Linked DNA regions of Sus scrofa. The protein of the gene in region 1 interacts with the protein of each later gene in a pairwise test. Links are inferred from orthologs where the notes say so. Each region holds a gene or a part of one and is shown in the gene's direction. Other genes may lie near its edges.

What was found.
Region 2: the proteins of TRIM27 (region 1) and FNDC11 interact in binary tests that used the Homo sapiens proteins (3 or more experiments, as listed by UniProt). The two-hybrid records come from large-scale screens. The link is inferred for Sus scrofa from reciprocal best matches to the Homo sapiens genes TRIM27 and FNDC11.
Region 3: the proteins of TRIM27 (region 1) and NEK6 interact in binary tests that used the Homo sapiens proteins (3 or more experiments, as listed by UniProt). The two-hybrid records come from large-scale screens. The link is inferred for Sus scrofa from reciprocal best matches to the Homo sapiens genes TRIM27 and NEK6.
Region 4: the proteins of TRIM27 (region 1) and PRAM1 interact in binary tests that used the Homo sapiens proteins (3 or more experiments, as listed by UniProt). The link is inferred for Sus scrofa from reciprocal best matches to the Homo sapiens genes TRIM27 and PRAM1.
Region 5: the proteins of TRIM27 (region 1) and BAG1 interact in binary tests that used the Homo sapiens proteins (3 or more experiments, as listed by UniProt). The two-hybrid records come from large-scale screens. The link is inferred for Sus scrofa from reciprocal best matches to the Homo sapiens genes TRIM27 and BAG1.
Region 6: the proteins of TRIM27 (region 1) and KAT14 interact in binary tests that used the Homo sapiens proteins (3 or more experiments, as listed by UniProt). The two-hybrid records come from large-scale screens. The link is inferred for Sus scrofa from reciprocal best matches to the Homo sapiens genes TRIM27 and KAT14.
Region 7: the proteins of TRIM27 (region 1) and GSE1 interact in binary tests that used the Homo sapiens proteins (3 or more experiments, as listed by UniProt). The link is inferred for Sus scrofa from reciprocal best matches to the Homo sapiens genes TRIM27 and GSE1.

What each region holds. Positions count from the first base shown.
Region 1 is NW_018084804.1:137,804-142,336, forward strand, and holds the start of TRIM27 (zinc finger protein RFP), read left to right. Parts: upstream 1-1,465; 5' UTR 1,466-1,847; coding exon 1,848-2,267; intron 2,268-3,421; coding exon 3,422-3,517; intron 3,518-4,533. UniProt on the Homo sapiens protein: E3 ubiquitin-protein ligase that mediates ubiquitination of various substrates and thereby plays a role in diffent processes including proliferation, innate immunity, apoptosis, immune response or autophagy.
Region 2 is NC_010459.5:62,556,586-62,560,478, forward strand, and holds FNDC11 (fibronectin type III domain-containing protein 11), read left to right. Parts: upstream 1-1,708; 5' UTR 1,709-2,098; coding exon 2,099-3,103; 3' UTR 3,104-3,376; downstream 3,377-3,893.
Region 3 is NC_010443.5:265,133,636-265,137,480, forward strand, and holds part of NEK6 (serine/threonine-protein kinase Nek6), read left to right. Parts: intron 1-887; coding exon 888-1,028; intron 1,029-1,953; coding exon 1,954-2,016; intron 2,017-3,845. UniProt on the Homo sapiens protein: Protein kinase which plays an important role in mitotic cell cycle progression. Required for chromosome segregation at metaphase-anaphase transition, robust mitotic spindle formation and cytokinesis.
Region 4 is NC_010444.4:70,809,446-70,813,290, forward strand, and holds the end of PRAM1 (PML-RARA-regulated adapter molecule 1), read left to right. Parts: intron 1-2,251; coding exon 2,252-2,306; intron 2,307-2,414; exon of another isoform or gene 2,415-2,422; coding exon 2,423-2,528; intron 2,529-2,673; coding exon 2,674-2,836; intron 2,837-2,920; coding exon 2,921-2,954; intron 2,955-3,031; coding exon of another isoform or gene 3,032-3,066; intron 3,067-3,194; coding exon 3,195-3,378; 3' UTR 3,379-3,414; downstream 3,415-3,845. UniProt on the Homo sapiens protein: May be involved in myeloid differentiation. May be involved in integrin signaling in neutrophils. Binds to PtdIns(4)P.
Region 5 is NC_010452.4:33,234,001-33,237,845, forward strand, and holds part of BAG1 (BAG family molecular chaperone regulator 1), read left to right. Parts: intron 1-177; coding exon 178-291; intron 292-3,140; coding exon 3,141-3,248; intron 3,249-3,845. UniProt on the Homo sapiens protein: Co-chaperone for HSP70 and HSC70 chaperone proteins. Acts as a nucleotide-exchange factor (NEF) promoting the release of ADP from the HSP70 and HSC70 proteins thereby triggering client/substrate protein release.
Region 6 is NC_010459.5:26,491,428-26,495,272, forward strand, and holds part of KAT14 (cysteine-rich protein 2-binding protein), read left to right. Parts: intron 1-2,684; coding exon 2,685-2,806; intron 2,807-3,845. UniProt on the Homo sapiens protein: Component of the ATAC complex, a complex with histone acetyltransferase activity on histones H3 and H4. May function as a scaffold for the ATAC complex to promote ATAC complex stability. Has also weak histone acetyltransferase activity toward histone H4.
Region 7 is NC_010448.4:3,654,490-3,658,952, reverse strand, and holds the start of GSE1 (genetic suppressor element 1), read left to right. Parts: upstream 1-1,388; 5' UTR 1,389-1,660; coding exon 1,661-3,622; intron 3,623-4,463.

The sequences.
Region 1 (4,533 bases):
AATCGCTCCAGAAAGCTATTAAAAGGACAAAAGACAAAAAGCAAGCAAGCAAGCTATCAGGACATCAGGGAAGGAAGCAGGCTCGCTTAACTATAAAACCATAAATAAAAGCACAAGATATGCCTCAGGTCATTAAGTGAAAGATAAAATGAGGCCTGCACTCAAGTTCAGCAAGATAATGCTCCTTAGGGCTAAGGACTGGAATGTAAGGGAAAGATAATATTTCAAAATAGGAGACCCTCACTCTATGGAAACCTGAGATTATTCAACATATTTTAGCATATGTTACCACCCTTCGGCTGATTTGAATGAACACCAAGGCAGTCCTAGTTTGACGTCATAGGGTCAAATACTCTCCTACCCAATACAAAGGAGGAGCTAGTGATGTGAGCCTGAGGTCTACCTGAAGGATGAGGAAGAAGGTGGTCTTCTCCTACTCCCCACTTTCCTTGGATGACAAAAATGTAGCCCACCGAATTCTTGGAGAAAAGCCTCCTCACCTGCCTCCTCACAAGCATCTTGTATCTTAATAAATCTATTTCTTGCCCATCACTTTGCCTCTCAATGAATTCCTTCCTTCTGCCCTGAGGCACAAAGAACCTGAGCCTCAGTAAGTCCAGACACCAGGGGAGTGATTCTAATTAAAAAACTGTGGGTTCAAGTCCCAATCTGGGTTTAGCCTGGGTTTGAGTCGGAGGTGTTTTGGTTTCAAGTGTTCTACACAAGGCAAAGTTAAAGAAAGTCTAGATAGAAAATAACCAAGTACTAGAATTTCAGGTTCTACGTGAACATGGGAAGCCTGCTGGTAAAGAGAGAGTGATGTCGCCAGCTTGTTTGGGTTAGGAGTAGGCCTTGTAGAGGGCTGCAGAGAGTATAGCTTGAGCCAGAGGCAGAGAGGGAACTGAAGCTCAGAATGGTAAACCATTCTGCTTAGGACAGTAGGAAGTAGCAGAACTGGGCTTGTCTGTTTCTGTTACAACAATCTTGCCTTCTGATAATTAAGCCTTTCTTTTCCGAAACAAAATTGCGACTGCCTGTTAATGGGGTTGTTAGACAAAGCTTCTCACAGACTGGGTGGGGCTCAGTGGGCTACCCCCCACCCCTCCGGCCTCCCAAGGAGGCCAGATGTCTCCTCTTCCCACGCCAACACAAAGCTAGCTTTCTCTCGCCGTTGCTGAGGCCTGGGCACCAGGCAGGAAGCCCAATAAAGGACTAGGGGGCTAGGCCCAGGGCCACGGAAACTCGAGTGGGCCTGGCGCGTGCAGGCAGGGGCTACCCTGTCTCCGTCGCGCCCCGCGGACACCGCCTGCCTCGGTTACCTGCTCCTGAGGCTCCCCGCCCGGTCAGCCCCAGGGCAGCGGGCAAGGCCTCCCAGGTCCTAGGAGGGGAAAACTGCCCAGCCCTCAGGCCAGAAAATCGTGCGGCGCCGGGTGGCTCGGGCCAAGCCCCGCCCCCGCCCCGCCTCTTCCGCTCGCGCCGGGGTGGGGTCTGTGCGGCCGCCGGGACCCGCTGGGACAAGGCCACGTTGTCTCGCGCCTTCCTAGCGCCCGGCTCCTGGAGTCCGACTGGCGCAGCCTCTGGTTCGCGACCCCCTGGCGTAGCTGTCGGGCTTCGTGGGGCCGAAGTACCCCCACGTCATTCGGCTGGGCCCCGCGGCCCGACCACCCCCGGTTCCAACGCGCGGGCGCGTCTGGGATCAGGGCCCGGGAGGCGCCGCCCTCCGTCAGCCGGGCTCGCCTCCCCGCGCCGCCCCGAAGCAGCGAACGGGAGGGAAGAGCCGTAGAGTTGGGCTCCTCGCAGGGCTGGGCTCAAGGGCCCATGCCCGTGCGCCCCCGCGGGCCCGCGCCATGGCCTCCGGGAGCGTGGCCGAGTGCTTACAGCAGGAGACCACCTGCCCCGTGTGTCTGCAGTACTTTGTCGAGCCCATGATGCTGGACTGCGGCCACAACATCTGTTGCGCCTGCCTCGCCCGCTGCTGGGGCGCGGCGGAGACCAATGTGTCGTGCCCGCAGTGCCGGGAGACCTTCCCGCAGCGGCACATGCGGCCCAACCGGCACCTGGCCAACGTGACCCAGCTGGTGAAACAGTTGCGCACCGAGCGGCCGTCGGGGCCGGGAGGCGAGATGGGCGTGTGCGAGAAACACCGCGAGCCCCTGAAGCTGTACTGCGAGGAGGACCAGATGCCCATCTGCGTGGTGTGCGACCGCTCCCGCGAGCACCGCGGCCACAGCGTGCTGCCGCTCGAGGAGGCGGTGGAGGGCTTCAAGGTGAGGGCCGGGCGCGCGGGCCGGGGAGGGGCTGGAGCGCGAGTCGGACAAAGGGAGTAGAGAGCCAAAGGGGCTTCCTTTTTTCCGCCTAGAAAATGGCTGAGCCGGACGTGTGGTTCACAGCCGTCATTTCCTCTCTGTCTGCTCCAGAGCCTCGGCACTCAGATTTGGGAGGAAAACCTGTAGCTGGTGAGGAAGCCAGAAGTCTCCCCACCCCCACTCTTCTTTCCTTATGTGCCCCTCTGTTTCCCCGCTCACCGGCACGGCCCATGGAGACCCCCTTCCCTTGACTGTACAAAAGGAATGCGTAAAACCATGTACGCATCTGCAAGCTTCAGAGACACTCTTACTCCTGATGGCTCCTAGATGATCTCAGACACGACACAGTCGGACGTTAACTGGCTGTATACACATCTAGCAGATGGCCATCACCTCTCCTTTCCCCACCACTTCCCTATGCTCCATCTTCTTCTAGAAGCTCACGGAAAAATGAGCTCCTTACTGCTTAAGTCAGTTAACCACCGTGAGACTCAAAGGAGGTAACACAGTTATGAAGATTGAGTGAAGTGAGCTGATGTGTGGATCCCTTTGTAAACTCATGAAACAGCAGACGGGCGCAGCTAAACAGTAACATGGAAACAAAGTATTAAATATAAAACAGTTGTAAGGCAACATTCAAGGAGTGCATGATCTGTGTGTTTGAGGACTGCAGGAACATGTACATGTTTGACTGTGAGTACATTCATGCAAAATTATTCACTTAACATTTATAATGCTTTCACATCATTTTACTCACCCTGGTGATAACCCTCCAGGAGGCTGAGAAAGCGGTGTTTGCCCATGTCAATAAGAAAATAAGAGCTGTTAAATCTTCTCAGTATGCGACTGTGAAAGAGCGACAACTCAAAGCCACCTAGTCCAGTCACCTTTCCACTAAGCCGTGGAGTATCCTTACCCACCATTTAAGATACAAACTACCAAAAGAGAAGTGTGGTGACCTCTGTGCCCTGGTGACGGCAGTGTAGTCCAAGGACGGACTCTAACCAGGGACTTGGCATCAGAAATGTGGGTTGCACATGTGATAAGCAGAGTAGCCATATTGATGCTAAGGTCTGCCTAATCTTGAACTGCCCAACTGTTTTTGCTTTTCTCAGGAGCAAATCCAGAACCAGCTGGACCATCTAAAAAGAGTGAAAGACTTAAAGAAGAGGCGTCGGGCACAGGGGGAGCAGGCACGAGCTGAACTCTTGGTAAGACTCGATACACAGATAATGTCAGTTCTGCTGGTCACTCTTTTTTTTTTTTTGCAAGGCTTGTGCAGTCAGGTCATCCAGGTTTGGGTGGAACAAGCTTACATAGCAGGTGAGAATTCACCTGGAAAACCAAGAAATTACTACATTTTGGAGGAAAGGTGGGAATAGCTGAGTTTAAAACCCCTGGAGATAAATTTAATCCTCTAGCTTTGTGTAGACCATGATTGATCCTTGACAAAGCTGATACAGGTGAAATTCTTGGGTGGTTAGCCTCCTTTGGTACCATTCTGCAGACAGATGGTTTTCCATGAGCCCGACAGTTAACTTCTTGCTAGAAAGTTCCTTTTCTTGGCAATGTTTCAGTTCTAAACTTTTCACTTTGTTTCCTTCCCCTATCATCTCAAGGCCTTAGCAAGTGGCTGATGTGCTAATTTGTGATAGGGATGTTTGGGGGTTTTGTTCTGAAAAACGAGACAAAAATATGAAGATTTTTATAATATATACTTATATGTCCAGCACCTAGGTGTTTTCAGTATCTTTTTGAACAATAAATAAAATATTACAAATTCTCACTCATTAGAAGTATTTGCATCTGAAAAGCAAAGTCTTAGACTAGTAGTGTCTGGCACCATCTTGTGAGAAATTTTGTCAGTCCCGGACAGGGTATAGTAAAGAATTTTTGGATTTACTATACCAAAAATAGTATAATGAAACTTACTCTCACGATGCCATAAAATCCCATCACTTGTTTTGCACACAAAATCCACTGAGACGTCAGCTCCCCTGCTTGAAAATAGATCTGATGGGTGGAGAATCTTCTGGTAAACTTGAGTGGACTCAAATAATTAAGCATACAAATCAAGGTTATTTGAGGACCATTGTAGACATTTTGGCTGTGTGCTCCAGATCATCCTCCATGGGGCACACGTCAGACCATGTGACTTCCCTGCTAGTCTTTCATGGCTCCCAGTTGCTGTTAAGTCCTTGCCCTTTAGCTTGCCAGGCTTCAGGGC
Region 2 (3,893 bases), on another chromosome or scaffold:
GCCCATGGTGCCCACCCACTCCCTCCCAGGCCAGACCCCCGGGGCCCAGGCCTGGACCCAGGGGATAGGCTGGTGGGGGCTTAGGGGCAAAAGCCGAGTGAGGTCAGCGGGAGGGGTGGAGGCCCCCGTGCGGAGAGGTTCTGTCACCGAACAGACTGGGAGCGGGCCTCAGGGACAGGCGCCCTATCCTGGAAGGGTCCCCACCAATAACCTGCAAGGGAGAGGGGGCGCCAGGGATGTCCTGAGGCTTGAGGAGATTTCCGGCTGGGGCAGAGGTCGTGATGCTTAGGTTCCCAGGGAAGGGAGCGAAACCTCTGGGCAGTTCTGTCCAAGCTGAGACCAGGGCGAGGGACGGGGCTGGTGACTCATCCGGGACAAGCGGTTTGTTCGGTCCGGGTCCTGGGCCTGGGGGGCGCGCCCCGCGCAATCTTCGCACCTTCCTGCAACTCTTCCAGCCTTCCAGTCCGGACCCCCGATCCCGCGCCCTGGCTCCCCGCCCACCCCGCCCCCTCCCCGCCCCCTCCCCGGGCGGTCGGGGCGTCACAAAGTCCCCATGGCAACTCGCGGGGCGCCGGGCGGGAGGCTGGAACCGGCGGCTCCGCACGCACACACAGTCGGACCGCACTGCTCCGCCGGCGCCGGGAGGCCGGGTAAGTGTGCGCGCGGGAAGGCTGGGCGCGCGGGGAGGCGGCCGGGGGTTGGAGGACGAGGGGGTTGTGGCGGAAGTGGGCGGGTTGAGGGGAAGTGGGTCTGAGGCCAGGGGTGGGGGGTGGGGGTCGGGGTGGGGGGGTGTAGGTGTGGACAGGCAGGCCAGGGGCCAGGGCAGGCGGCTTCTTCCCCGAGTTCCCCAGCGGCCCCTCTGCGGTTTTCCAGCTAGAGACTTGGGCCCTGGCGAGGCCTCTGAACTGAAGCCAGATCTGGAGCCTCTGGAGGCGGCATGAATCTGTCCCAGGCTCCAGCCAGCGCAGGACTTTGCCAGGAGTCCAGGGGTCTTGGTCTGGGTTGGCAACTCACCCCAGACATCCTCTCTGCAGTGCCCAGGGCCTGGTCCGCCGCCTCTGCCCCTGGAAGGTCAGGGCCTGGCCTTTGGGGAGGGAGACCGACTTGGGTCCCGAGCCCACTCTGCACCTTAACCGTGCAGCCTTGGATGGCTGCTCAGCCTCTCAGCTCCTGTTAGGGATTCTCCCACCCAGGTGAAGCCACTGGGTCTGTCTCACTGACCTGGAGGCCAGCTGGGACCGGGGACAGCAGCCAGGGAGCCCCAGCCTTGTGGCCAGGGACTGGGGCCACAGCCGTGCCCAGCTGTGGGTTCACCAGGCATCGTTGGACACTCAGCTGGGAGCCCGCGTGGGAGAGGGTGCAGGAGGAGACTCGGGTTCTGGCGTCTGTGGCTGCGGCAAAGCCTGGACGGAGAGCAAGCTAGCGAGCTCTGTAGCCCCATGCACCCCCTCTGTGAGGCAGGGTGCCAAGACCTCACCATTTGGGGCTTTGCTTGTGGAGTCAGCTCAGCAAGGCGCCCGAGGCCCCAGGACACAGCCGGGCCCGGGAACTGGCAGGATTATTCCCCTGGGTGAGGCCAGGGGCCACCCACCTCCCTGAGCTCGGCTCTGCACCTACAGAGAGGCAGGGAGGGCCTGCAGCACAGAGGTGTCCCCACGGGTTCGGGTGCTGCTCAGACAGGATCGCCCTGGGTCCTCCCAACTGCCCAGGGGAGCAGATGTGGCCTCACAGCTGCTCCGTGGGGGTTCCCCGTGGGGGGTTCTGGCCCAGAGCCCACGGTCACTGCCCTGCCCTGTGTCATCACAATCCATCAACAGAGTGTCACACCCTCAAGTCCACTTTGACCCAGATGGGCAGCCTGCCCACTTGGCCCTCCAGACAGCCTCGTTCCAGAAACCAGCCCTCACCCCAAACTCCTTCCCCGCCTCCCACCACCAGCCCCCCAGGCCAGGGAGGACAGAGGGCCCGGCCGGGGGGTCAGTGGGCCTGAAGTCACCCCCCACACCAACGCTGCCCCAAGAGAGCCCCCGGGTGGGCAGCAGAGGCCAGTGTGACTGTTGCAGCTCACGCCCCGCCCTCCATCCCCTGCTCCCAGACCATGAACTTCCAGGTATCAGGCCTGGGCCTGGACAACATGAAGCTGGACTGTCCCCAGTCCTTCCTGGACCAGGAGGAGGAGGCCGAGGAGGCCGAGGATCAGCAGCTGCTGGAGCCGGAGGCCTGGCGCACCTACGTGGAGCGGCGCAACGCTCTGCGCGAGTTCCTGACCTCGGACCTGAGCCCCCACCTGCTCAGGCGCCACCACGCCCGCATGGACCTCCTCCGCAAGTGCTCCTACTACATCGAGATCCTCCCCAAGCACCTGGCTCTGGGCGACCAGAACCCGCTGGTGCTGCCCTCTGCCATGTTCCAGCTCATCGACCCCTGGAAGTTCCAGCGCATGAAGAAGCTGGGCACCGCCCAGACCAAGATCCAGCTTCTGCTGCTCGGGGACCTGCTGGAGCAGCTGGACCACGGCCGCTCCGAGCTGGACGCCCTGCTGGAGTCGCCCGACCCGCGGCCCTTCCTGGCGGGCTGGGGGCTGGTGGAGCAGCGGCTGGCGGACCTGGCGGCCGTCATGGACAGCTTCCTCGCCATGATGGTGCCAGGGCGCCTGCATATCAAGCACCGCCTGGTGTCTGACGTTGGCGCCGCCAAGGTCCCGCACATCCGGCTCATGCTGAGCACCAAGATGCCCGTCGTGTTTGACCGCAAGGCCTCGGTGGCCCACCAGGACTGGGTCAGCCTGCGCTGGTTTGTCACCATCCAGCCGGCCGCGGCAGAGCAGTTCGAGCTGCGCTTCAAGCTGCTGGACCCGCGGACCCAGCAGGAGCGGACACAGTGCGGGGCCATCCCCGTGGCCGCCTGCACCGTCGCCGTCCGAAACCTGCTGCCCAACCGCTCCTACAGGTTCACCGTCAAGAGGGCGGAGAGCTACACGCTGGTCTACGAGCCCTGGCGGGACAGCCTCACCCTGCAGACCCGGCCAGGGCCTCCCGAAGGGCCCGCTCCCGGCCGGCTGGGCAAGCTCAGCCCACCCCTGCCCACACCTTCCGAGAGATGATTTTCTAATATTTATCCACTAATAAAGAGGAGTATAAACGCACACACACAATTAAAGAAACAAACCTGCTTACGTTCGAAAGGCGGCAGCAGCCACGTGAGTGTCTTTCCTGACGCAGCCCCAGGCCCCCCCACTCCTGCTCCCTTCTGCGGGGGGAGCCCCCGCTGGCCGCTCCAGGAGCCCAAAACCCTGGAGCGAGAAGTCTCAGCCCTGGCATGGGGCTGCCACCACCAGGATGGGAGCGGCACCAAGGCTCTGCCCCCCACCCCCTGCCCCGGGGACTTGTTGGCAGCACCCCCACCCCTGGCTGTGGGGACAGTGGAGCCCCGTCACAGTGCCGCCTTGGGACCTGGCGCAGCCTCCGGCTCTCTTTCCTGCCCCCTAGCCTGGGGCTCCCGGGGGGAGGCCTGTACCCTGCGTCCCGCCCCAGCACTGCTGCCCTCAGCGTCACTGAGCCTGCGGCCGAGGCCAGAAGGACATTCTATTTTTTGTTTTTTTAATGAAAATAAAAGTCTTGTCTTCTCCCCCAAAGAAGCGGAAGTTCATCTGCACCCCATCCCAAGGCGGGGGAGGGGCCTGGCAGGGAACCCTGCCTGGCAGGTTCCCCCCGATACAGGCCAGTGCACAGCTCCTGTCGGGGTCACCCCACCCCCCCAGCCCATCGCCCCGGGCCACCCTCCACGGGGTCATGTGACCTCCGGCTCGGCCAGCAGCGCCCCCACGCACACGTCCACTTCCTGAGGGGACGCGGCCTTCGGTCTACCTGCTCCCGCAGCGCGGGCCTGTTCGG
Region 3 (3,845 bases), on another chromosome or scaffold:
CGCTCAGGGCACCCCCCCGCCACCTCCCCACTCCTGCCCCACCCATGGTTATCAGTCACACACTGCAACCACTAAGCACCTACTGTGTGCAGGGCTCAGTGATCTCGAGGGATCCTCATAGCCATCCTGTGAAATGTGTTTTTTGGGGGGGTGTGCCTGGCCACTTCCTGAGAGCACCTTTGCAGGTGTGGTTTTTTGGGGGGGCGGTGCAGGGGTGGTGCCTGGCCATTGCTGCCTCATCTGTTGGCTCCACCCCCGAACAAGTGCTGAGTTTCATCGTGGCTGTCAGTGCTGGTCCCTAGTGGGTCATCATGAGGTCTCCGGATTCTTCCCATTGCCAGAAAGGGGACAGTTGATCCAAAGAATGGGCTCAGCGTGTAAGACTGCAAATTTAACTCTCCTTTTCTCATCTCTGAGGTGGGCATGGCCATCCCTGGAGGGGACGTGGCTGCTGCTTACGATGACGTGCAGGCTTAGGGCTGCGGTTGCACGTGGAGGCCACGGGGCCAGAGAAACCCCGCAGGGCCTCCCCTCCGCTGGGTGACTTGGGAGAGTCACCTCCTTAAATGTTTATTGCACCTGCTCTGCTAGCCAGACTCAGGAGTGAACAGGCAGGTGAGGCCCTGGCCCCATGGAGCTGCCTTCCGGGGATGGAGAAGGGAGCAGTGACCAGATGCTGAGGGCCGGTGACGAGTGCTGTGGCGGAAGCCCCATCTGCACAGTGGGGTCATTGGGACCCAGTGGAGCGGGTGCGGAGAGCGCCACGGGGGCGCTCTGAGAGTGGAGCTGGCGATGAGGGGCCTGGAGGGGGCGTTGCCCCCCCCCCGGGTCCCAGCCTTCCAGTCTGCCTGGCTCGTCACCAGTGCCCTCTTGTACCTCTCCTCCAGAGGCACCCGAATGCCCTGTCTTTTCGCTGCTCGCTGGCCGACTTCCAGATCGAGAAGAAGATCGGCCGAGGCCAGTTCAGCGAGGTGTACAAGGCCACCTGCCTGCTGGACAGGAAGACAGTGGCTCTGAAGAAGGTGCAGGTGAGCCCACCGCTCCGTGGGGGCAGAACCCCATTGGCAGCCGGCTCGTGTCTAAACACTGTACTTCTGGGCTCACCCTGTCCCTTCTCTGTCCTTCTGTCCCCCTCGCCCTCCCCGCCCCACTCTCTCCCGTTCCTCTGTAAGTGAGGGAAATTAGTACCCACTTCGCCCACTGGGCTCTGGGAGGATCAGGTGGAGTGAACCATAAAGGAGAAGAGCAGTGAGCATGCGCTGAGCACCTGCTGTATACTGGGTGGTGCCAGAGCTCCCCGAACCTTGACCGCAGTCTTCTAGGTAGGGATCACCATCCCATCCTTCAGAGGTGGTGGGTGACCCAGCAGGGCCCAAGGGAGCTAAGGGGAAGCCGAGACGCAGCTCTGCAGCCAGCTGGCCCTCTCTGGTCGGTTCTGGGCTTCTCTGGTGTTGGTTCTTAGTGCCAGGATGGGTTCTGTGGTGGGGCTGCTGCAGGGACCACCTCCTGTGTCTTAGCAGGTGCTGGGAGGACCCACGCGGAGTGAACACTAAAGGGGCTGGGGCGTCAGGGGCCGTGTACTGTACCCCCTCTTCCTACTCAGTCCACACAACCGCCCTATGAGCCCAGGCTGTTGGCCCTATTTACAGAGGTGAAGACTGAGGCTTCAAGCGTGTTTTCCTGCCTGCCACTTACCAGTGCATGACCTCAGCAAGTCACTGCACTTCTCTGGGGCCTCGCTCTCCTCCTCTGTAAGTTGGTGACCGTATCTCCTGCCTCATGGGAGGTACAGTGATGATTCGGTGAAAACCGCCCCTGGCAGGTAGTAAAAACTCAATAACCCAAATCATTGTCCTTATAGGGTTCCCTCAGCAAGGAGGTGGGAGAACCCGGACTGGGGGTGCTGGGTGCTAGGTTTTAACCACTCTTTCTCTGTTTTTTTTCTCCCCCAAGATATTTGAGATGATGGATGCCAAGGCCAGGCAGGACTGTGTCAAGGAGATCGGCCTCCTGAAGGTGAGTGGCCTGGGCCGAGTGGGAGCCCCTCACTTCCATGGGCCAGGCTGGGCCACCGCATGGCCATTACAGCCCTTAGCCCGTTAGGTAAAGAAATGACTTACTTTAGAGAGGCAGCAGCTTGTTCATTTTCTTGTGGCTGGGCGGGAACTCCCACCTTACTTCTGCCCAGTCCTCAGGGTGCCCCCAGGCTGGCTGTCCTTGTCCCACGTGCATCCTGGATGTGGATGGGAGAGCCTGGAATAGCCCTTGCCCTAAGGCAGCCAGATCACGTGGCTGCTGCAGGGGAGGCTGGGCGTTGGGTGGGACTGCAGGTTGCCTGTCTGTCTGTCTCCTTCTCTCTCTTTCTTTGCGCTCAGCCTCATTCTCTCGTACTCCCACGTGGCGGCACACACATGTGGCTATTCAGCCCCAGCGTGCTCTCTCCACCCCCATCCTCTTGCTCCCCCCCCAGGAGATGCTCTCTGCTGGGGAGACTCCCACAAAGCCTGCCTGGGGCGCTGGGCAGCATTGACAGCTAAGCCCGTGACCCCAGGTTCTGGGGGCTGGAGGGGTCCAGGATCCCGGTCCCTGAGTTGTCAGCCTTTTGGGCTCTCGCCGGGCCTCCCACAAGGAGGAGGCAGGGTGCACAGCTGGGGAGGGGTCTCCCCAAGGGGGTAGCTGATGCGCCCGCCCCTCTGCAGGCGGAAGTCCTTGGTTCAGCCAGGGCACGGCTGACGGACATGGTCCTGTGATGGTGGCGTCTGGGGCCCTTTTCCCCTCCCCTCTGGCTTCCCCGCTGGGGTCCTCAGCGTCAGAGATAACGGAACTTTCTGGATGAGACTGAGCCTGGGGCTGCTCTCCTGGCCATCGTCCCTCCTCCCCAGGCTTAGGATCCCGCCGGAGAACTAGTCGGTGACAGAGGAGGAAAATGCGTATGGGATTTGGAGGCCCCAGAGCCTGGGTTCAAACACCAGCATCCTCATTTACAGGCTGCGTGACCTTAAGCATATGCTTTAACCTCCCTGAGACTCAGTTTGCCTAGCGGCTCCATGGCGAGAATACCTGCCTCAAAAGATACAGGCAGATTGAGAAGATGAAATAAAATCGCATCTGAAGCGGGCCTGGCGCAGTAGGGCACACAGTAGGCGCTGACTTGGTGTCCTCCCCTCTTCCCACGAAACAGAGAGCTTGCTTGGTAGCTTCCTATAAAGGGGGGGCTGCTGGTGGCAGTCAGGCCTGGGCCTCTGCCTCGGGGACCCCCAGACAGAAGGGGAATAGACAGGGCAGCAGATGGTGACTGTCCACTGTGATGCCAACTGACCCGGGGACCCCAGGAAGACCCTTCAGAGGCCAGACCCCCGTCTCAGAATCCGGAAGACTGAGAGGAGCCTGCTGCAGGAACCCCGACAGTGTGGCTCGGGGACGGGTCATGGTGGCCTTGAATGCCACACTCAGGATTCAGAACTTGAACGTGGGAATTGGGGGTGAGGCTGAAGTGACCAAGAGCCAGGAGCTGGAGCCAAGGGGAAGCTGTGAGTGCTCACTGGGGTGGCCCCTGGCGGGGATGGGTCCCAGGGGCAAGGCTGGAGGCAAGAGGCTCTTAGAGAGGTGCCCACAACTCCAGCTATCACAGGTCCAAATATACCCTTCAAATCACAAATCACACTTTTTTTTTTTTTTGGCTGCACCCGTGGCAGGTGGAAGTTCCCAGGTCAGGGATCAAACCTGAGTGACAGCGCTGAGTCCTCAACCCAGTGAGCCACCAGAGAACTATCAAAAGTCACCTTTTTAAAGTTTTATGAGATGGTCAACTTCGGGGCCCGGTTGTGACCTCAGGGACGCTGATC
Region 4 (3,845 bases), on another chromosome or scaffold:
CAGGGTGGGGAAGGGCAGCCCAGAGGCCAGCAGACAGACCATGGTGTGGTATGGCAGGGCAGGGGTGTGTCCCAGGGCGGTGGCAGGAGACATGGAGAGCAGTGGAAGAATCAGGCAAAAAGGAGCAAGAGGACTTGGTGGTGTATCACCAAGGACAAGAGCAAGAGAGTTCATGACAGGGATGGGGCCCAAATTTTGAGCCTGCACCTGGGTACAGAGTAAGATAGGCATCAGGACCCATCTTAGATCTGTGGTCTTGGAGGAGATGCCTGAGGGACGTGTAGGACTTGAGCCTGAGATCAGAGGCACAGGCTGGAGACAGGCTGTGACAGACCCTGGGTCTGCAGTCCCAGGCAACTCTCTGCACTCTGGACCCTTCTCTTTTCTTCTGAGCCTCTGCTCCTGGAGAGCAGAACGGAGGCCACTCAGCCGTAGCTGTGAGGATAATGCATTCAGCAACCTCATGTACAAACAAAAATGGCTCCTGTGCCAGCACTTTGCCAGAATGTGCACGACCCCCGAGGTGGGGTCATGCCCATACTACAGAAGTGGAAGCTAGAGGACACAAGAAGTGACTTGCCCCAAGAGCTCACACGGCCAGTACATGGTAGCCCAGCCCTCTGCTCCCAGGCTGCTTCCCTGCCCTGTCTTTGGGTCTCCTGCAAGGGTGCCTTTTGGATACTATTGCTCCTTCCCCACCAGCCCTCTCCTCAAAGTCTGCTGCCTCAACAGCTGTTACTCCTTCCCAGGCCCCTGCTGCTTCTCCTAGGCTTTCCCCAGGGGCTGCTTGCAACACCCGGATTAGCAAAGAGCTTCCTGACAGGGCCCCTCCTGCTTCCGCCCCAGCGAGGATCTGTGGCTCGGGCCACGCTTGGGGATGTGGATGTGTGGCAGGAGTACCTCTGGCCACTCCACTTCCAGCAGCCTTGCAGGCATGGCTCACCCCCAACCCCAGACTGGGCACATCCCTACCTTTGCCCACCATCCTAGACACTGGGCAACCATCTCCCCATCTCATGCCAGTTGTTCGAGATCGCCATTAGATACCACGAGCTTCCCTAGACCTCCTCTCCCTTCTCCAGACACTGAGTAGAGCTCACTGGTGGTATGGATTGTCCCAAGGGCTGCTTTGCCTTTTTCAAGTCTGTCCCCAACTGGAAGGAACTCTGGGCTTCCCCCCCATGCCTCACTCAGAGCAGTGGCAGCTCCACTAGAGGCTCCCTGAACAGATCCTCTGGAGGGGTCCGGCCCAGTTCTTTCCCAGGACCTGAGGGCAGATAGCTCAGGATCTCACTGCCAGGAGGCTGGGGACATGGGCACACCAGGGTCTGCCCTGCCCTGAGCTCTCCAGCTGCGGCAGGTTTGTAGGGGCTCTAGGGTGAAGTCAAGTCCACTCCCAGCTCCCAGCTGAGTGAATATCTGGGAGAGATAAGAGGAGCTTGAGAGGGAGTGTTCTGGGGGGGGACGGTGGGTGGAGGCCATCCAGCACAGCACCTGGAGGGGTGGGAGCGTGCCATGCAAATACCCATCAGGCAGTCCGAGGGGAGCTTCTGCTGGCCTGAAAGGTCCAGTTATCCAGAAAGGACTGCAAAAAGCTGGTGGCTTCAGGTTCTGGATCCTTCACTCACCTGGGGTTCATGAGGGTCTCACTGTAAGCCAGACCCTGGGCGAGCAGGGCTCATACCTGGAAAGCTGGCTATTTGCCTCACCCAGGAGACCTGTACAGTCCAGAGTCTCATTATCAGCCAAGCCAACCCAAGAAACCCCTCCCAACAGCTCCTTCCAGAGGTGGACCTTTGTTTTCTAGAAAATGGGTTTTTTCTTCCTGACTTATTTTTTTGACCCACATCACAATTCCCAAAACCTTACCTCCTCTACCAGGCAGGAGTGAAACAGTATCAAAAGCTCACAGATAAATCCTGCCTCTACCTTTAACAGCTGGGTGACCTTGGGCAGACTCTCTTACCTCTCTGAACCCTTACTTCATCCTGAGCAAGTTGGGATGACAGTCATCAATAGAGTTGACATGAGGGATAAACAGTTTCTCCCACACCTAACATGTGATAGGAGTTAAGAAAATGAAAGAGAACTCACAACCCATGAGAAAGGCCTGGGGAAAGGGGAGGGGAGGGCCCCCACTGCCCACTCCCCTACCCCCTGTCATGAGAATTAACACAGGAAAGATCAAGCCAGTAGGTCAAAAGACCAAACCAAGGGGCCCTGCCCTAAGTCGGCATTCTGACTGTCCCAGATGAAGTGCTGTCTACCCAGCAATCCCCCAAGAGGCCACAAGACCCAGAGCCCAGGTACCACAGGGCAAAGGGAGTGGGGCAGGGCGGGGCTGAGCCCTGGGAGGACAGTAAAGGGGTGTCTCCCAGAAGCACATCTTGCTCACAAGCACCCAATTCCTTGAGGGGCTCAGGAAGAAGGCGCCCCAGCAACAGCAGTCACCACCCGAGGACCTAAAGTCCCTGAAGCAGATCCGGAAGGCAGAGAAAGCTGAGCGGGAGTTCCGGAAGAAGTTCAAGGTATGAACCCCACGCAAAGCAAGAGTCCTGGGAGGGCTGGGCTCAGCTCCGGTTGACCAAGGCCCAGTGAATTCCATCCTTAGAAAGCAGCCGGGGAGTCTCTGGGTGGCAGCACAGGCGAAAACACTAACCTCTTCCTCCCCAGTTTGAGGGGGAGATCGTGATTCTGACTAGGATGATGATTGACCCCAATGCCAAAACACGACGTGGGGGTGGCAAGCATCTGGGAATTCGGCGTGGGGAGATCTTGGAGGTGATTGAGTTCACCAGCAAGGAGGAGATGCTATGCCGGGACACCAAGGGCAAGTGTGAGTGAGCTCAACCCAGGCAGCCCTGGAGGATGGGTCACCATCAGGAAGAGAGAACTCACCATCCCTGCTCTCTCTTCACAGATGGCTACGTGCCCAGAACAGCTCTCCTGCCCCTGTGAGTACTGGCCCTGATGGGTGGGGGTTGTCATGGGTCAGGGTGACCCTTGCTGACCCAACTGTGCTCTCCACCAGGGAAACAGAGGTATACGATGATGTCGATTTCTGGGGTACGTAGATACTCTGGGTGGACTGGAAGGGATACATTGCCTCAGAGGGGTAAGGTCTCATCCCATTCCCCCAGGGGCTATCTGCTTATGGGGCAAGGGTCACTGAAGAAGTCACTCTTCCTCAACAGATCCTCTGGAGAACCAACCACTGCCCCGGGAACAATAACGCCTGCTGGTGTGGGGACCCAGAACAACACACCAGCCCAGCATCCCAGCGTGGCCATCACGGAACTGCCTGGGGTCCTGTCTGACCACGTACACAGACCACATAAAGCCCTTCCTTTAAAGCGATTCTGGTTTCTTGTCTTCTAATGGGCACACACATTACAGCCACAATCAAACACTCAGAAGAATCTCTGGGGTCACCTCGCTTCTCCCAGGCCTCACCCCCTCAACCACAGAGACCAGGAAGGAGAAAAGTGGATCAGGGGAAGGTGGCAAGGGAGCTTGGCACCTTGCTAGACTTTGAGGTGGGAGTCCCTGTGATGGTACCCCATGTCAGCTGCCACTCAGATTGGAAAGGGAAGACCCTCTGTAACCCTTCACATCCAACATAACAAGCAGCAGCTGCAGCTCCCCACAGACTACAATCAGCTGTCCAGCCCAAGTGGACCTATGTATGAGGTCATACCTTGGGGGGAATATTACTTAGTTCTGATAGGGTCCAAGTATCAAGTTCAGCCTGAACCTTGACATGATTAAATATGGTCAGAAAAAAACCTGTGTTGAAACCTAATGCTCTCCATGTCATGATACTAAGAGACAGGGCCTCTGGGGAA
Region 5 (3,845 bases), on another chromosome or scaffold:
TGCCATGAGCTGTGGTGTAAGTCACAGACGCAGCTTAGATCCTGCATTCCTATGGCTGTGGTGTAGGCCAGTGGCTATAGCTCTGATTGGACCCCTAGCCTGGAAACCTCCCTATGCCGAGGGTGCGGCCCTAAAAAGACAAAAACAACAACAATAATAATAATTTACATATTTTAGAACAGTTCAGAAGAAGAAGTAGAACTAAAAAAGCTGAAAGATTTGGAGAGATCTGTGGAGAAGATAGCTCACCAACTGGAAGAGTTGAATAAAGAGCTTACTGGAATCCAGCAGGTAAATCTGTCTGTGGACTTTGACTTTCTTCCTTTTATGTGAACTCTCTAGAGATACAAATGTGTGGTTACAAGGATGCCTTTGTTGTCCAACTCCCTGGATTCAGATCTTGGCTCTACCGTTTCTGTTACAGTGGGCAAGTTCGCCTTTGTCTCATGTTCCTCCTCTGTAAAAAGGGAGTATTGATGGTACCTCCCTCTTAGGGTTGTTATAAGGATTAAATAACATAGTTTGAGCCTCTGACTAAGTGCTTTATAAGTGTTATTATTATTATTATTTCCAAACCCCAGCCAGCATCCATTTGTGCTCCTGGCAGAACACCTGCTGTGCTAGGTTCATGCATTGCCTGAAATAGAATAAGTAGCTTCTCTCAGTTGATTCAAAGAAGGTCCAAGTTGAGCATGATCTTGTGGTGGTGTGGTGGGGTCATCCTATTCAATTCCCCTAATATTAGAGGTGGAGTAATGAAACCAAATAAGGATTAGGAACAGGCCCAAACCACATACGTATTTTTGACCCCTTCATTTTATAACATTAATGGATATATATGTGTTTTCATTACAAAATTCATATATGCTGATTGTACCTTACTTTTAAATAGACATATGTATACTAGAATGGAAAATAATATTACCTTTAAGACCTAACTCAAAGATGACTGTTACTAAAAACTGGAATCTATTTTTCCAGTTAAAAAAAAAATTGGTGTCATGTTAGGAACCCTTTAAATTCCTTTTATTCATTTAAAAAATTGAACTTTTTCTTATGTTATTAAAAATGATCATACTTAACCCAATCATTTTGCTGTACACCTGAAACTAACACATTATTGATTAACTATACTTCAATAAAGAAAAAAAAAGTCTTAACTGGAAAAAAGTGATCACACTTTTCAAAATTTGCATATTTCATATTATGTCATATGAATGTATCATGGTTTACCTAACCACTTCTCTATTACTTACCACCCAGTATTCTTTTACCATTATGTGCAATCATCCTTAGACATAAATCTTTTTTGACCATTTCTTTATTTTTTTATTATTTTATTTTATTTTTTGTCTTTTCTAGGGCTGCACCCACAGCATATGGAGGTTCCCAGGCTAGGGGTCTAATTGGAGCTGTAGCCCCCCGCCCTACACCAGAGCTATAGCAACGCGGGATCCAAGCTGCGTCTGTGACCTATACCACAGCTCACGGCAATGCTGGATCCTTAACCCACTGAGCAAGGCCAGGGATCAAACCTTACCTCATGGTTCATAGCAGGATTTGTTAACCACTGAGCCACAATGGGAACTCCTTTTTTGATCATTTCTGAATTTTTTTTTTTTTTCCTTCTTTTTAGGGCTGCACCTGAAGCATATGGAGGTTCCCAGGCTAGGGGTCCAATCAGAGTTGTAGCCGCTGGCCTATACCACAACCACAGCAATGCAGGATCCAAGCTGTGTCTGTGACCTATACCACAGTTCATGGCAATGCTGGATCCTCAACCCACTGGGCAAAGTCAGGGATCGAACCCACAACCTCATGGTTCCTAGTCAGATTCGTTTCCCCTATACCACAATGGTAGCTCCTGACCATTTCTGATTTTTTGGAACTTCCACATGCTGTAAGCACAGCCCCCAAAAAAGTTGGAGTTCTGATTGCAGCGCAACAGAAACAAATCTGACTAGTGTCCATGAGGATGCAGGTTCGATCCTTGGCTTTGCTCAGTGGGTTAAAGATCCAGCGTTGCCATGAGCTATAGTGTGTGTCACAGATGTGGCTTGGATCCCATGTTACTGTGGCTGTGGCATAGGCCAGCAGCTGCAGCTCTTATTCGACCACTAGCCTGGGAACCTCCATATGCCGTGAGTGTGGCCCTAAAAAAAATAAAGTTCTACATGTATTTTTCTTTATCCTCACAGTAACCCTCTGGGGTGTGGGCATCATGATCTCCACTTTATTTATTTTCCAGGAAACTTTTTTTTTAATTATTATTTTTTTTCCATTATAGCTGGTTTACAGTGCTCTGTCAATTTTCTACTATACAGCAAGGTGACCCAGTCACACACATATACATTCCTTTTTCTCACATTATCATGCTCCATCATAAGTGACTAGATTTATTTCCCAGTGCTATACAGCAGAATCTCATTGCTTATGATCTCCATTTTAAAATGAGAACACTGAGGCACAGACTGGCTAAGGAACTTGCTCGAAATCACAGGCCATGCTGAGGAGTAGTCAGGATTAAAGCCCAGGCCTGTCAAACTCTAAACCCTGTGTTTTGTTTGTTTGTTTGTTTGTTTGCTTTTTAGGGCCATACCTGTGGCATATGGAAGTTCCCAGGGTAGGGTTGAATTGGAGCTGCAGCTACCAGCCTATGCCACAGCCACAGCAATGCCAGACCTGAGCCCCATCTGTGACCTATACCACACCTCACAGCAATGCCAGATCCTTAACCCACTTGGAGCCGGGGATCGAACCTGAATCTTCATGGGTACTAGTCAGGTTCTTAACCCACTGAGCCATAACGGGAACTCCATAAACCCTATGCTTTTAACATCTGCCTCTTCTGTGTGGGCCTCTTGTATATGAGTATACACTGGTGACAGGGGCTTTGCCAGAGCCAGGCATCCTGGGGCATTTGCAGCCTCAGTGTGCCACGTCAGATAGAATGGCCAGCAGCCTATTGGCAGTGTTTGGGGTGGCTCAGGGCTAGCTTCTCTGTTTTTCCCAAGAGGTGAAGTTGTGGGCCTGACGTCTGGCCCAGCCTGTTGGGGAGTGTGGACTGGGCTGTGGCTGCTTGGCTTAGCGTTTTCACCAGCCTCAGAGAACCCTTGCAGTGATGTGTCATTCTTCCACAGGGTTTTCTGGCCAAGGATTTGCAAGCAGAAGCTCTCTGCAAACTTGATAGGAGAATAAAAGCCACCATCGAGCAGTTTATGAAGATCTTGGAGGAGATTGACACACTGGTAAGTAAATATTCCACAGAGAAGTTCTAGCTTCCTTTGACTCTATCTCAGTCAGTTCCTTTCTTTCAGTATCTCACTCATTGCCTAAGTATATTGAGCACCTACTGTGTGCCGGACACTGCTAGGTCTTATTCTGTGAATAAGCAGAAAGCTAAGATGGTTCCTGATTTCTCATGTCCCACCAAAGTAGGGCTTTTGTCATTTTTATTTATGTGTGCTAGTAGCTTCTAATCCTCAAGAAGCTGGGACCCAAATGGTCCATGATCTCATGGTCAGACCAGGAATTTCAGTTCAGTGAAATTTATTGTAGGTTGAAAAGAAATCAGCATACAGGAGTTCCCGTTGTGGTTCAGCAGGTTAAGAACCTGACTAGTATCCATGAAGATGCAGGTTTGACCACTGGCTTCCCTCAGTGGGTTAAGGATCTGGCATTGCCATGAGCTGTGGTGTAGGTCACAGATACAGCTTGGATCTGGTGTTGCTGTGGCTGTGGCTTAGGCTGGCAGCTACAGCTCTGATTCAACCCCTGGACTAGGTAGGAACTTCCGTATGCCACAGGTGTGGTGCTAAAAAGACAAAAAAAAAAAAAAAGGGAAA
Region 6 (3,845 bases), on another chromosome or scaffold:
GTTTCTCCTGAACCACAGCAGGAAATCCTGGGATAGGGCAGTTTTACATTCTTGTCCTGGGTGCTTCTTATCTTCCTGGGTGCTCTTTAGACATTTGGGAGGTTCCTTCTGGGCAGTGCCAGCCTGAGTGAGGCCTTGGGGTTGCTGGTCCCCAAGGCTGGCCTGTTACTGTGAGCTGGGACTAGTGGTGTGAGAACAGAAAACAAAGCTGGGATTCATTCATTTAAGATTACAAATGGGGGAAAACCATGTCCTTAATGCTTTGGATTTGTAGTTTGCTCAGTAAATATGACAATAGGAAAAGTTATTTTCAGTAAATATGTGAATCTTAATTTTTTAAAAGTCGTGAAGTGTTTCAAATATTTCAAAAAAGTACCAGAAATGGGACAACACACTTATGCCTGTACCACTGAGGTTAACAGTGAGTACATGTTTCCAAGGAGCCTGAGAGTGGGCAGAAGAGTTCATTCCATTCTTTTCTTCAGGTATTTCTTAAACCATTGTTAAAATTGTAGTGAAATAGTCATAAAGCTTTATGTAGTAAAATAGACATAGCAAAGCTTACCAGTGTAATTATTTTTAAGCATACAATTCAGTGGCATTAGTTACATTCACAGGGTTTTGCAACCATCACCATCATCATCTCCAGATCAAGCTCATGTTCCCAAACTGAAATCTTGTATCCATTTAACAGTGACTCCCGTGAACAATAATTGTTTAAAGGGAGAGGTATGTTGGCCATTGTTGACCTGATGCAAAAATAAGTGGAAGGATTTGAACAAACTCCATGGGGTTAATTGTTTGGCAGAATCCCGCCAGAATCCCCAGGCCCCTTTGAGGTGTTAATCATAGGTCTTCCTGTTGGACATTAGGATTTTCTGCTGATGGAGAGCATGAGCTGCCGTTTATTAGACTCTTTACAGCTTCTTATGGAAAGAAGAATCATGTAAGGATTTCAGTTTCATTGGCCCCAAAGTAATCATTATTTTTATTAGGTTGAAAACATGATTTTGGATAGCTTGTGGGTTTTTTTGTTGTTGTTATTCATTTACAGTTACAAAATTGCATTTAGATGCAAAGAGAAATATTTGGGAGTTTTCCTCGTGGCACAGTGGAAACTATCCAACTAGGAACCATGAGGTTGAGGATCCACCGTTGCGGTGAACTGTGGTGTAAGTCTCAGACGAGGCTCGGATCTGGTGCTGTGCCTCTGGTGTAGGCTGGTGGCTACAACTCCAATTCAGCCCCTAGCCTGGGAACCTCCATATGCCTCGGCCGCAGCCCTAAAAAGACAAAAAGACAAAAAAAAAAAAAATATATATATATATATATATATATACATACACACACACATACATATATGTACATATATATGTGTATATATGTATGTATGTGTGTGTGTGTATATATATATATATATATATATATGTATTTGAAAGGACAGTCACTAAAAATGTTAAGAAGGATTATTTCTTTTGTTTTTCTTTTTCTTAGGGCCTTTCCTGTGGCATATGAAGTTCCCAGGTTAGGGATCAAAATTGAGTTACAGCTGCTGGCCTACACCACCGTCACAGCAACACCAGATCCGAGCCTCATCTGTGATTTACACCACAGCTTATGGCAGCACTGGATCCTTAAATCACTGAGCAGAGCCGCATCCTCATGGATGTTAGTCAGGTTGGTTTCTGCTGAGCCACAACAGGAACTCCCAGGATTATTTCTTTTTTAAAAATATTTTTCTTTTTTTGGCTGCAGCTGCCGGCCTACACCACAGCCACAGCAGTCAGATAGGAGCTGCATCTGCCACTTACACCACAGCTCACGGCCAGGGATTGACCTTACATCCTTGTGAATACTATGTCAGGTTCTTAACCCACTGAGCTACAACAGGATGGAGGATTGAAAATTATTTTTACTTCCTTCTTTGCTTATCTTTATTACTGAGGTCTTTTACAGCGAGCATGTATTACTTATCCTCTGAAAAATTCTACCATGTTTGGGGCTGTAAATTCATTATCTAAAAAAATTGGATAATGAATTCACAGCCAGATGTGGAGGCTCTTGTGGAGCTGGAGGGTTGTCCACTTTCTTAGAGGGGCCTGGCAGCCAGGCCTTTCAGGCCCCATCCCTTGTCTCTGCTGATTTCATCTCAGTAAAGGTTTCTACAGCTGAGAAAGGCTAAACCCAGAATAGGTTGTACCTCACGTTATCTTCAGTTATGAAATTCTGAGTCTTTTGTTTTTGCCCTCTGAAGAGTATATGTGCAGGGGTGAAGTTCAAAATATCTAATAAAGGTCAGTACCGTCTGTCAGAAATGTGGGCTGCAGCAGGCCCTGGAGCCTCCAGCTGCCAGTAGCCAGTAGCTGGCACAGTATTTTGTGCTGCCTTGTGAGTGTTGGAGGGAGACTGGGTAGAGGCTGCTTAGGGCAGTTGCTCCTTATCCCAGCTCAGCCACACATCAGCCTGGCATATGTAACACACGAGATTGAAATCAGTGCTACTCATTTACTGAAAGCAAAAAAGGAAGTAAAATTCTGTGCTAAGAATATTCCAAGATGTTATTCTTCCTTTTCCTGCTCCATTCCTCGCTATTCCTACTCAGAAGACAGAACAGCCAACATTGTCCTCGGGAGTCGATCATCCCCGTTTGTGCTTTTCTCCAGCCTTGTTTCTTTGTGTTTCAGGTGGTCATGTTGGCGATGTACAACCTGTCTCTGGAAGGGAGTGGAAGGCAAGGCTACTTCAGGTGGAAAGAAGATATCTGTGCATTTATTGAGAAGCATTGGACTTTTTTACTAGGGAATAGGTAATGTGATTGTAAAAAACTTTATACTTGAATGAAGATGCAAAGGATAAAGTTTGTGAGATTTGAGGCACCCTAATGCAAGCCTTTAGAGGATGCGAGTATTTACTTGTGGCAATTACTGAGTATTTTTTAATCCAAACAGTTTTGTTACTTTAAGTTAAAAATCAGAGTGGGTGTGTATAAAATTACAAATCTAGATTTCGATACTTCTTAATGCTACTTTCAGAGGAAATTGCTGGTTTCTACTGAGCAAGAAGACATTTGAACAGATTCTTAGGATGTTAAAAAATAGAGAGTTTGATTAAATGAGGCTGTTGTTGTTGTTTTTGGCTGTTCCCACCACGTGTGGAAGTTCCTAGGCCAGGGATCAAACCCATGCCACAGCAGCAGCTTGAGCCACTGAAGTGACAATGCTGGATCCTTAACCTGCTGAGCCTCTCGGAAACTCCAAATGAGGCTGTTTAATAGTTGGTTGATGGAGTTTCTTTTGTGACTTAGTTGGTTAAGAACCCAACTGGTATTCATGAGGATGCAAATTTAATCCCTGGCCTCACTCAGTGGGTTAAGGCTCTGGCCTTGCCACAAGCTGTGGTGTAGGTCACTGTGCAGCTTGGGTTTGGTGTTGCTGTGGCTGTGGCATAGGCCAGCAGCTGCAGCTGCAAGTCAACCCCTAGCCCTGGGAACTTGCATATGCTGCAGGTACAGCCCTAAAAAGAAAAGGAGAAAACGGTTGAGTGACTAACTTGAGGATAGAGGATTATTATGTCCTTTAAAGATCAGTGCCTTATAGGAGGTCAGAAGAAGAGACAGAGGCAGTAATTGACTGCACTCATTCCAGTTGCTCTTTGTTAATTAGTATTTGTCTTTAGTAATTCTGGCAGGTAGAAACCACTGTGTACTCTTTGGTCTTCACAGTGCTTCACCAAGCCTGGGCATATTAACATGCACCCAGTTTATTCATTCATTTCTCTTTTCATCATTACTCCTGAGCGCTCCACCTCTGTGACTCCTCCCTGGTTCATCAGACTTAGGGAGGGAT
Region 7 (4,463 bases), on another chromosome or scaffold:
TCTGAATCCCAGGTCCGCCGCTCCCGAAGCGTACACCTTAATGCTCGCCGCCTCCTCATTGTCATCTGTGCAATGGGCTGATCGTGGCACTTAACCCAGAGTTACTGAAAAGAGCGACCGAGAGGATGTGTATAAACTGCTTAGACTCTGCACCTGGCGCATGCTAAGGTCTCTCTCTGTGTGTTTAAGAAATACATGATCTACACGTGTGACTTGGAACCAGTTAATCCCCTGAAAGGCCCAGACTTGTTGAGTCATCGCCCTGGAACACACAGCCTAGACACACGGGACCCTTTTTGTCCCTGGCCAGCAGTGGGGAGGGGCGGGGCAGCCGAGTCTGTCCCCAGGATGGCTGGTGCATTCACTAAGGTGTTCAGGCCACCAGGAGACAGCCCCTCTTCCCTGTCACCAAAATTAGAACCCTGGGCCCTGAAAGATACCCCGGATCCAGGACTCCTCAGGGCTGTAAAGGGCCCTTTAGATGGGGGTGGGGGGCGGGTGCTGAGACCCTTTGGAATGGGGAGAGGGCCGGCAACAGCCCAGCTCACTGGGCAGCCTCCCTCCTCTAGAGAGCTGCCCTTCCTCGGCGGGCTCTCCGGGGACGCCGGCCGCGTCCTTACCTGGCTCCTCCGGCGTCCTGCCTGACCTTTACTTAAAGACCAGCTCTAGCGGCTGATGGGTTTTCGCGGGTCCCGGAGGAGACCCTTCAGACGGCTCGAGCCTGGCGCGCTGGAGAGAGCCCCCTAATTGGGGCAATGAATCACCGAGCGCGGCTCCCGGCTGGACACAAAATAGATAGAGGAGCCGGCGAGCTATTGTGCGCAGTTTGGGACCGGGGGGGGGGCGGGGGGGGGTTGGGAGGGAGGCAGGGAGGAGGAGGTGGTGGAGGAGGAGGAGGGAGGCGGAGGGGAGGGAGGGGAGGGAGCGCGAGGGAGGGAGTCCCCCGCCCGCCGCGCTCCCGCCCTCCCGCCCTTCCCCTCCCCTCCCCTCCCCTCCCCTCCCCTCCTCCCTCCTCCCCAATTAAATGACCCAACGCTTTGGCAGGCGCCGGAGCTCGCACATGCGGCTGCCGCTCCAGCCGCCCGGGGCCCGCCGCCGCCGCTGCGTTCCGGGCGCGCTCGCCGCGGCGCCGCCGGGGGCTCGGCCGGCCGGGGGGGGCGCCCCTGCGAGCGGCCGAGCGCCCGCGCCCGCGCCGGCCGCCCGCCGCCAAACTTTGCGGCGCGCACACATGCTCCAAGTTGGGCGCGGCGGCGGCGGCGGCGGCGGGCGGTGAGGGCGGCCCGGGGCGCGCGGGGGCCGGCGCGGCGCGGCCATGAGCGGGCGGCCGGCGCCGGTCTCCCGCAAGCAGCGGCTCATGGCAGCCGTGGGCGAGCGGGCGGCGGGCGGCGGCGGCGGCGCGCCGCTCTCCTGCTTCATCTGCGGCGGCGGCATCGGGCGCGGCAAGGAGCTGAAGCTGCAGGTGAAGCAGCCGGCGGCGGCGGCGGGCGCGGGGGCCCCGGCGCAGCCCTTCTTCCCGTTCCTGCAGCAGCAGGAGCCGGCGCCCGGCGCGCGCGAGCTGTCCCCGGCCGACGGCTGCGTGCTGGTGTGCGCCGTGTGCCGCTGCTTCCTGGGCGAGCAGTGGGCCGCCTTCGAGCGCGCCCGCACGCCCGTGGACAAGCGCATGTACTGGCTCAAGCGGCCCCACCAGTGCGACGCGGGCGCGGGCGGGCGCCGCGGGGGCGCCGGGGCCCCCCGCGAGTGGAACGTCGCCTACGCGCTGGGCGGCGCGGCCGACGACGACGAAGACGGCGGCGGCGGCCCCGGGCCCCGCGCGGCCCCCGAGGAGCCTCGAGATTCCGAGCTGTCGGAGCTGTCGGACACAGACCCCTTCTCCGAGCCCGACCCCGCCGCGCGCGACGCCGCCAGTCCCCGCCAGGACGGGGCGCCAGCGGCGCGGGCCGCCCCCGGGCCCGGGCCTCGCGGGGGCCGCTGCCCGGAGTGGAGGCCGGCGCCGGGACCCCCTCCGGGACTGGGCGCGGAGACCCCCACGCCGGGGGACCTGGAGGACGACGGGATCCCCTCGAAGCTCCACGTGGACGGGGAGCCCAGGGCCGGCATCCGGCGCCGGCGCAAGGGCGCTGGGAGGCCCTGGGCCCCAGAGGCCCGGGCCAGCGTCCTGAGGGGCCTTCCGGACCCTTGGCAAAGGCCTCCGGTCCAAGGCGCCCCTGCAGAGGGCGTGAAAGGAGCCCCTCTGGGCAGGGCCGCCAAGACTGCCGAGAGCAAACCGCTGGCGGAGACGCGCGCTTCTGAGGACAGTGACGTCAACATCACCAGCGAGGAGGAGGACCGCAAGGAGCAGCCTCTCCCAGGCCCCTGCTGCCCCAGAGACCAGGACGCCGCTGGCGGGGGCCGTGCCCCCCGGGCTCCCCTGGAGAGCCGGGCTGCACCACCAGAGGGCCTTTGCTGCTACATCTGTGGGTGTGCGCTGTCCCCGGCCTCGCAGCACCAGATCCACGTGCAGAAGCAGGAGAAGCTGGCCCAGGCGCCCTTCTTCCCCTTCCTGTGGCTGCACAGCCCGCCCCCGGGGGCGCAGCCCATCAGCGAGGGTGGCAGCACCCTGGTGTGCCCCTGCTGCTTCTCCTCCCTCATGCAGCAGTGGCAAAGCTTCGAACTGGCCAACGTGCCGGTCCTGCAGCGGCTCTACGTGGTGCCCCTGAACAGCCACGCTCCCGGCATGGCCTCCAAGGGCAGGAGGCTCCCCAGGGAAGAGGGCCCGCCTGCCGGGGCCCTGCCAGAGGCCTGCTACCTCTGCGGGGAGGACTGTACGCGGGATGCCCGGGCCGTGGCCTGCAGGACCCTCAACGGCAACGCCAGGGGCTCCATGCATTTCCCGTTTCTCAGCCTCCTGCCCTGCCCGCCCAACGCCCAGGGCCCCAACAAGCGCTGTGAGGTCCGCAGCTGCCCCAAGTGCTTCAGCGTCCTGGAGGACGTGTGGGCCCTGTACCGGGCCTGCCAGAACGAGGAGCTCATCACCTCTGTGCAGGGCTTCTTGGGCCGGTACCACCAGGCCTTCTCAGCCTCGGACCCTGCGCTCTGCGAGCCGCCCGCCTCGGCCCAGGGTGGCCCGGCCTCCGTCTGCTACATCTGCGGGGCCGAGCTGGGCCCCGGCAAGGAGTTCCAGCTCAACGTGAACCCCTCCAGCCGCCTGGGCGAGAAGGAGCCCTTCTTCCCCTTCCTCACTGTCTACCCGCCGGCCCCGCGCGCCAGGCCTGCCGACTCCACCGGCCTGGTGGCCACCTGCGTGCTCTGTTACCATGACCTGCTGGGCCAGTGGCTGCAGCACGAGGCCCGCAGCGCCCCCCACGCCATCAGCCCCTGGTCACGGCAGTACCAAGTGGAGATATTCGTGTGCTTCTTCTGCCAGCAGGAGAAGAAGCGGTGTCTCGGGCTCAAGGCCGTGCGGGTGGCCCGGCTGCCCTTGTTTCTGTACACCCTTCGAGCGAGCCACAGCCTGCTCGTGGACGATGGGCGACAGCTGATCATCGGCGCCTGCACGGAGTGCGGGACCCTGGTGTGTGCTGGCCAAGGGCTCACCCGCCAGGGACCCACGGGCTGGAGCTCCCCAGGGGCGGCGGCGAGGAAGGTAAGCAGCTCCGTTCTCGTGTCCTCCTCTGAAACCCGAGCAGGGAAGGAGGCGATGTTGTTTTCTGCACCGCTGCTGGAGAGGAGAGGGGTTTTGCGCCCCGTGTGGTCCAGCAGGAGGGGCGCTCCCCCTGCCCCAGGTCACCCGGCCAGGGCTCAGTGAGCACGCTGACCTGGTTGAGCTCGGAAGCGTGTGACAGGCCAGAGGAGTTGGGAGGCCAGGAGTGGCCTCGTGGAAGAATAGGGCAGTACTGAAAGCAGCAGGCATGAGCCTGAACTTGAGTGTTTGCAGCGGAATCTATCAAACAGAGGAAGTTCGGGGCACGTCTGTCATCCGCCTGATAACATTGGTAATTAGTCCAGCCACGCAGGTCACCGAGAGGTCTCGGCACTCACCCGGTTTGAAACACATCAGAGGTGGAAGTTCCTCTCGACTCTCACTCCCACTCAGTGTAGCTTTTCCAGAATTTTCCACCCAAGTTCACACTTTCCCTCTGAGGCTCTCTGGTTGCTTAAGAGCAGATGGAGACAGATTTCCAGACGTGGGGGTTTGGGACCCCGGGGACGGTGGCCTAAACAGACGGTTTCTCCCCGGTGGGAAGAGAGTCTTTCTTCTCTGCAAGTCAGCTGTGCAGGGGGAGGGTGGGAGGCCCTGTTTATAAGGCGCCTCCCTTCACGCTGCCTGCCCGGGAGGAGCCAGACGGGGCTCCGTTCATTTGGGATCCGGCTTTGCAAAGGCTGAGGCCAGAACTGCCCCCGCGGGTCTCGGGAAGCGAGTTGTGCCCACCGTCACGGCCACTGGAGCCATGAATTCTCATTTCCACCAAAGCCGGTGACACTGG